Linked DNA regions of Oryctolagus cuniculus. The protein of the gene in region 2 interacts with the protein of the main gene of each other region in a biochemical or structural test. Links are inferred from orthologs where the notes say so. Each region holds a gene or a part of one and is shown on either strand. Other genes may lie near its edges. The genes, in order: SH2D1A and CD244.

Region 1 (4,462 bases), on a different chromosome or scaffold from region 2:
CTGGGGCTGGAGATGAAGACCCTTGCCCTCACGGAGATTACATTTTTTCTATTTATTTATTTATTTTATTTATTTATTTTTTGACAGGCAGAGTGACAGTGAGAGAGAGACAGACAGAGAGAAAGGTCTTCCTTTTTCCGTTGGTTCACCCACCAAGTGGCCGCTATGGCCGGCACGCTGCACCACCCTGAAGCCAGGAGCCAGATGCTTCCTCCTGGTCTCCCATGCGGGTGCAAGGACCCAAGGACTTGGGCCATCCTCCACTGCCCTCCCGGGCCACAGCAGAGAGCTGGACTGGAAGAGGAGCAACCAGGACAGAATCTGGTGCCCCGACCGGGACTAGAACCAGGGGTGCCAGTGCCGCAGGTGGAGGATTAACCTAGTGAGCCGCGGTGCCAGCCGAGATTACATTTTTCTAGAAGATCCCAGCAATACAGTTAAGTAAACATGCAAATGTCAGGCCTTTAAAGCTCCTTGAAGAAAAATAAAGAGCACGTAAGTGGGAGAGGTAGAGGGCATTCAGTCTAGATAGGGTGGCCAGAGAAGGCCTCGCTGAAGGAAGAGTCAGTTGCCTAAACATGTAAATCAAATTTTTGCAGAAGGAGCATTAAGGGCAAAAACCCTAAATAGGAAGCATACTCAGTGAGCTTAAGAAATGGCCAGGAGGCCAGCAAAAATGAAGCCTTAATGTACGTAGCCACACACTGTCCCCCGCTCTCCCAACCCCTGCCCAGGCTTCTTTTGTGCCTTCCTCTTTACCGCTAAGCTAAGAAGCACATTACCTCCTTGGCTAGCTTCCCTAAAGCAGCCCCCTCAACCCTCCCACTCACTCCCCTACCTTCTTTTGATAATGAAAGAGTCTATCTATAAAGAAACAACAAATGCTTGCAGGAGATTGACATGTTTATCTAGATTTGAACATTACATGACGTATGCACGTATCAAAACATCAATGGAGCCCCATGAATATGTACAATTTTCATATATCAGTTAAATTTTTAAATTTTTTTTAAATTAAAAAGAAAAGCGCCTAAGAATCCTAGTTGGCTTTCACCACCCTCTCCTGGTTTCACTCAGGAAGCACAGTAATATCAGGAAAACATGAAACTGCAAGCTCAAGAGATTCAGTAACTTGTGTGCATCTCCTTTGCAGTCCTTATGATGAATGTATTTAGTACAATCTCAGAACTACTACTAACAAACCTTGGCCATTTTTAAAAACCAATATACAATCAATGTATCATCAATACTGAACTGACTGACTACCAAGCGTTAGCCCTTATTTTGTTTCTGTCTAGAACCTAACGTAGAGTGCTGGTGTTTCCATGGGTGATTTTATCCTGGTGATGACAATGCTTCAGCTAGGTCCTTCCCAGGAGTGTTAAAAGTAATCAACTGAAAGAGAAGATTGATTGTAATAATACCAATATCTTATTTCTACTGAACACTTACTATGTGTTAGGTTCAGTGTTAATTTTTTACATGCATTACAGCACGGAACCTTCACAGTTCTGTGAGGTGGGTAATACCCATTGAATGGATGCAGAAACTGAAAGACCAAGACATTAATTTGCCAAGGCCACACACCTGGCTTCTGACCAGCACAGGGTTTCGCTCTCACAGCTGTCTGCCTCTGGAGCCCTGGAACAAAGATGCAGGTGCATCTGATTCAAAATGGGGCATTTAGACCCAGACACGCCTAGACAAAGGCAAAGCTGAATCATGACGAGGGTGTTTTCCCGCCACACCCTTTACCACTATCGGTCCTAGCTTTCATAGAGGAGGGTCTTATTTTTAAAACCTCCTGTCCCCCACACACCTCCTCTAAAAGAAGCTAAATAAGCTGATCCAGAGCAGCAGTTTTACTCACACACACCCCATCTCTGCGTCCTGACCCAACTGGTGGCCGCATTCTGAAAGTAATGGACTCTGCCCTTTAGTCTGCCTCCTCTCCCTGAATTTGGTATTCTTCCTTTGGGATGACACTTCCAAACCATCTCAAGAGAGGCCTTTCCTTCTCTCCAGAGCTGGGGGCCCCAAATCTGATTGGCCCATCATTCCAGGACTCCATCTTGCTGGCCTCAGTTGGAAGTCAAGACGGAAGCCAGGAGCCCGAGTCTCAAAGCAAAGGTAAATTCTAGGCCATGCTTCCCCATATCCTCAAGGCTACATTCTGCAGCTGCCCAGAAAGTCCCTGGCGAGGTCCTCCTGGAGAGGCGGCAGCCAGGGAATGAAATCCCCAGGAAGACACTCGGCCAAAGTGGGAGCTGAACAGGAAATCTTGCGGCCATGGAGAGGAGATCTTAATGAACAACTGCCACCCGCATCCCTGCCCCCAGGCCCCCCGTGCCCACTGCCCACACTCTGCGCCGCCACAGCCATAACGTACTCACAGCACACAAAGGCAATACACGCCCGGGACACTCTCACTGTCCCTCAGCAAATAGCTGCCGTCCAGCCCGGTGGCGAGCAGGAGCTTCTCCCCGGTTTCCCTGCTGATTTTGCCATGATACACAGCCACCGCATCCATTGCCTAGGAGACTCTGGGGCAGGCCGAGGTTTGCAGATGGTACTTGGGAGATGCAGCTGCTGCAGCCAGGCACAAGTCAGCCACCTGACTCCCAGTTCAGCTAAATGTGCAAAAAGAAAGAGAAGCACCGGAACAACAGGATGTTGTCTACCTGCCTAAAAACCTCCCTCTCACACTTCAATTAAAACCAGCTCAGCAACTTAGCCGCTTGGTTCTATCAAACTTGTCACCGGGTGTGGTCCCCACCCCCCAACCAACATAGGGTTCCTACAAAGAGTGCAACCTTGGAAAACGGACTTTGCACGATTTGGGCTGTACTGCCAATGCAGACTCTCACCCACTGACAAGAGTGCTTGGTAATGCTTCGATTCTTGCATTTTCCCCCCTGGGGCCACCGGGAATGACTTAGCTTACCCGATCTTCAAAGGAGTTGATAGAGGCAGCGTGTCATGCGGGGCTGAAACCTACTGAAGACGGAAGGACTAAAAGCTCTGAAACCAAAGCACCGAAACGGCACCTTCTATATGCAATTACTACTGATCATGGCCATGAGACTCCTGCAGAATCAGATGAAGCAGGTGAACAATAGACTTTGGGCAAGTTCCTCTCTCTCAGCTCCTAACTCAGATAGTCATCTTGAACGATCCTGGTCCTAAGTAAATACTGATTTTTTTTCTAGCACCTTGTCTAGGATCCCAATGTGCTGGAGGAGGTACAAAAATCCCAGTGTATGTCCAAAGGTATTCCAGATTTGTCTATTTGCTGGGCCCTGGAATGAAGCCAAATCATTTAACTGGGTCTTCATCATTACATGGATTTGTCTATGCCCTTTGGTGTGTAGGGCCCGCTTTTCAGGATTTCAGCCATAAAACTTGTTTTACAACATTTTGTGCATGTTGATAATTGTGTGGTAACTTTTATTCTGTTGTTTCTAGAGAATGGCTTCTTCTTCAATTGATGTTAAGCTGTCATTAATTTTTTAAAAGCCTTCAGCCTACATTTTCTTCTCTGAAATAAAGCATTGCTTCTATTTCAAATAGTGATAAGTAATATTTCCCAAAAACTTCCTCCATTTTTGCTAGACATCGTTTAATGCCTGGAACTCAACAGTCTTACACATGTCACGTTAGATTATGTAAAATACTTTTAGAATTGGAATACAAAGAGCTGAAGCTATGTTGTCTGTTGTATTCCTTTCACCACTTCACCACCTACTTTTCTGAGAATGCGTCTGGGCTGGGAACTCTCTTGGGAGGACATTTAAACCCTCATATCTTAACCAATGAATTGGATGCTCAGAGCCAAAGATGGTTATTTTCCCTCCAACTATGAGGGTTAAGGACAATCCTTTTGGCCAGCACCACGGCTCAATAGGCTAAATCCTCCGCCTGCAGGGCTGGCACATGGGGTTCTAGTCCCGGTTGGGGCGCCGGATTCTGTCCCAGTTGCCCCTCTTCCAGTCCAACTCTCTGCTATGGCCCGGGAGTGCAGTGGAGGATGGCCCAAGTCATTGGGCCCTGCACCCCATGGGAGACCAGGAGAAGCACCTGACTCCTGGCTTTAGATCAGCTCAATGTGCCGACTGCAGTGCGCCGGCCGTGGCAGCCTTTGGAGGGTGAACCAACGGCAAAAGGAAGACCTTTCTCTCTGTCTCTCTCTCACTGTCCATTCTGCCTGTCAAAAAAAAAAAAAAAAAAAAAAAAAAAAAGGACAATCCTTTAAGATTTCAGTGGTAGCCAGCAACAGCTCTCCTTGGTGGAAGAATGCCCAGCCATAGTAGCTGAAATATAAGTCTCCTTCATTTCTTTTCACATTTTAGAGACTTTAACGATTTTTAATTAGTTTTTTACAGATTGAACGTGCTTTGTAGACACAAACATAATATTCTCTTCCTTTTTGAGGTAACATTTTAAATTTATGTTACAGTGAAAA
Region 2 (3,811 bases):
CCTCTAATAATGACTCTGTCCTTTGTTTTATACCCTGTGGGTTTAATCTGCTTCTTAGTTTCATTTTCTCTAGACTTGAAGCAGTAAAATTCTAGATGGCCATGCACATGAAACCTCAGATGGAAGCATCTTCTGCAAACTGACACTGCATCTCCCACCTGCAGCTGGAACCCTGTCTTGACTGCCGTTCCCAGTGATGCCTTTTTAGCAGCTGGGGTCTCTGAGTAAGTCATTGTCCAGCTTATCCTTTTCCCTTTCCTGGGCTCAGAGTCTCAGCCCTGCTCTTCATAGTCTTGTTGAAAGGTGTGCTCTGAAGACTGGGGGAACCCAGCATGGTGCCCGGGTCCTCTTGCCTCATAGTCAGTATTCAGCTGCCTGAGTGCATATCATGCGAAGCATCATCTGGACACCAAACTTTAAGACTATGGCTTCCTAGGAGCCTCCTCTTCCAGGAACAGACCACAGTAGCTTTCTCATAATGTGCTGTAGTCAATCAAACAGCACACACATACACTAAGGGTAAAACTGGTCTTCCTGTGATTATAAACTCTCGGTGACTTTTCTTTCCTCTTAAAAATGTTTATTTATTTTCATTTTATTTAAAAGGGAGAGAGAAACAGAGAGAAAATCTTCCATTGGCTGGTTCATTCCCCAAATGCCTACAACAGTTAGGGCTAGGCCATGCCAAAGCCAGGAGCCTGGAGCTCAATCCAGGTCTCCCATGTCGGTTGTAGGGACCAAAGCTCTTAAGCCATCGTCTGCTACCTCCCAGAGAGTACATTAGCAGGAAGTTGGATGGGAAGCAGAGAAGCCAGGGCTTAATCCAAGCACTCTGATACTGGATGGGGGCCTTCCAAACAGTGATGTAACTGCTGCACCAAGCATCCGCCGCCCTCGATGAGTTTTTTCCAGAGATGGGCTTGCTTTGCACCGTCTATTCCCACAGCTGCCCATACCCCTTTGTGACCAGTTAGCCAGAAGTAAGATGTGAGATGTGAGTGAAAATTTTCCCTCTGCATTTGAATCAAGCTCTGGCCCTGGCTTTGGAGAACATGCCAGTGACAGCCAGAGGGCTGCTTCCTCTACCTCCCAGCCACCATCACCTTTCACTCTTCTTACTTTGGGAGATGGACCAGGGCAAGACATGTAGTCATCCCAGATTTGGGAGGATGGGAGCCAAGTAACAGGCTAGAAAACCAGAGAAAGGGAATCTCCATGCTAATGACAGTCCCAACTCCATTTACATGATACTTGACAGATTACAAATACTTGGAATGTGGTCTTCTGTGAATGACCCAGTATTTCCACCTGTTTTTGTCCTGTCTGCAAGTTGAGAGATATTGCTTAATAGCCTTATGCTTGTAATGGCAATTAGAAATCATTTTTAAAACAAAATATAGACCATGAACAAACTTCCATATCTTCTCCAGACTAGGAACTGCTCTGTGTAGACTCCTGTGGCATCATCCACTGTGCTATTTCCCAAAGCAGAGGCTGATGTGCAAGAAAGGTGAGATGAGCTACAGCAACTAGGAATAAATATCAAAACTCTCCAGTTCTTCACGGCTCAATCGAGTGGGGCTCTGGGCTTTAGGTGGTCTCTTTCCAACCTGTGGAAGAAATGGAAAAATTTCAGACCTACCCACTAGCAGATTCTTGTAACAATCGTGTGGGGGTATGAATCATTGTGTCCACTTTACAGATTAAGTAAATGGAGCTTGGAGTGGTAAAACAAATTCCTTAGGGTGAGCCACTAGTATGAAGTACAGGAGGGTCTTCAATGCAGTTCTCTGGCTTCAATTCCAGTGCTCTTTTAACCATACTGTGCTTCCTCCAGACCTCCCAGACTGTTGGGCTTCAGCTGAAGTTCTGGGAATCCCAACCACAACCCACTCACCCTCTCCATTGTGATCAGTGACAGCATTTTACTGGACCACAGTTGGAGGTTTGAGTGTACTAGGAATGGCTGGGATGCTCCCCATGCAGTAACCTCTCTGGGTGTAAATGAGATGTGTATGTATACCTGCCGTATAGCATTACGTGGGCATTAGATAAGGGATTCAGACGCTGGCAGGCTGCTTTACAGGTAGTGACTCTCAGCAAAGTTTGAGTCCCTCTTCCCCTCACCCTGCCTGCCAAATGAGCCGAGGAAATCAGTTCAGCCACCAAGCTCAGCGTTCACCTTTGAACAGCATCCACTCCAGCAGAAGCTTCAGACCACCCGTGTGCCAGAATGGTCCACTGCGATGGTTGAATTTTAGGAACTCATTTAGACTCACTTATCCCCACTGACGTCCATCCCTCACGCCCCTCCTGCCAACACACACACAAACCCTTGGAAGATCTATGGCTCACACCCTGGGAACTAGCTTGGAGACAGCCATAATCCACAACTTAGACTGCCTTATGAGAGTCAAACCTGTGTTACATGCTGACTCTCCCTGAGCCTCTGCATCTTCATCTCTAACATGAATATTTGGAGGGCAGGCATCTGGCACAGAAGCTGAGAAGCCACTTGGGAAGGGGAAGCTTGCATCCCATAGCAAAGTGCCTGGGTTCAGCCCCTGGTTCTACTCCTGATTCTACCTTCCTGCTAATGCAGACCTTGGGAGGCAGCAGATAATGGCCCAAATACTTGGGTCCCTGCCACCTATGTGGAAGCCTGGATTGAGTTCCTGGCTCCTGGCTCCTGGCTTTTGGCCCAGACCTGGCTGTGGAGAGCATTTGGGGAGTGAACTAGCAGATGAGAGCACTCTCTATCTAGTTTTCTATCATTTTACATTTCAAATAAATAAAATAAATAAGTTTAAAAAATAAAATGATGATTTGCATTTTAAGATCTCTGGAGACCTTTTCCTAACACACCATGCATGGCCAAACTTGAATGTTGTGCTGCAGAAACTAAACCCATCCAGGAGGAGTTCCAGGATCCTACCTCTTCGTAGACAGAGTGACTGATGGAAGAGTTATGGTTCTTCACCTTGGGTCCAGACTAGAAATTCAAAGGGAGAAAGAATACTTGACTTCAAGATTAGAGATGTCACTCTCCTGCTGGTGTGAGGGGTCCCAAGTGAGACTTAGGGCTTAGAAACCCCTGAGAGTATCCTTAGCCAGAAAATTAATAGGGGGCTGGTACTGTGGTGCAGCAGATTCATACCCTGGCCTGAAGCGCCGGCATCCCATATGGGCACCAGATCAAGTCCTGGCTGCTCCACTTCCCATCTAGCTCTCTGCTGTGGCCTGGGAAAGCAGTAGAAGATGGCCCAAGTCCTTGGGCCCCTGCACCCATGTGGGAGACCCGGAGGAAGGTCCTGATTCCTGGCTTCGGATCGGCACAGTTCCGGCCATTGCGGCCAATTGGGGAGTGAACCAGCGGATGGAAAACCTCTCTCTCTCTCTCTCTCTCTCTCTCTCTCCCTCTCTCCTTTCTCTGTGTAACTCTTACTTTCAAATAAATAAATAGATCTTAAAAAAAGAAAGCCACTATGGAAGTTAGTCTGGAGATTCCTCAGAAACTTGAATATACAATGCAGCCATTCCACTCCTTGGAATTAATTTACCCAAAGGAAATGAAATTGGCAAATAACTGTCTGCACATTAATGTTTATTGCAGCTCAATTCACAATAGTTAAGACCTGGAATCAACCTAAATGCCCAGCAACAGTAGACTGGATAAAGAAATTATGGGATATGTACTCTATAGAATACTGTACAGCAGTAAAATACAATGAAATCCGGTCATTTGCAACAAAACGGAGGAATCTGGAAAACATTATGCTGAGTGAAATAAGCCAGTCCCAAAGGTTGAAAG

Evidence for each region.
Region 1: the proteins of CD244 (region 2) and SH2D1A interact in a biophysical measurement, tested with the Homo sapiens proteins (2 studies listed by IntAct). The link is inferred for Oryctolagus cuniculus from reciprocal best matches to the Homo sapiens genes CD244 and SH2D1A.

What each region holds. Positions count from the first base shown.
Region 1 is NC_091453.1:102,134,293-102,138,754, reverse strand, and holds the start of SH2D1A (SH2 domain-containing protein 1A), read right to left. Parts: upstream 3,038-4,462; 5' UTR 2,945-3,037; intron 2,733-2,944; exon of another isoform or gene 2,631-2,732; 5' UTR 2,531-2,630; coding exon 2,394-2,530; intron 1-2,393.
Region 2 is NC_091438.1:38,097,055-38,100,865, reverse strand, and holds the end of CD244 (natural killer cell receptor 2B4), read right to left. Parts: intron 2,993-3,811; coding exon 2,936-2,992; intron 1,611-2,935; coding exon 1,530-1,610; 3' UTR 559-1,529; downstream 1-558. UniProt on the Homo sapiens protein: Heterophilic receptor of the signaling lymphocytic activation molecule (SLAM) family; its ligand is CD48.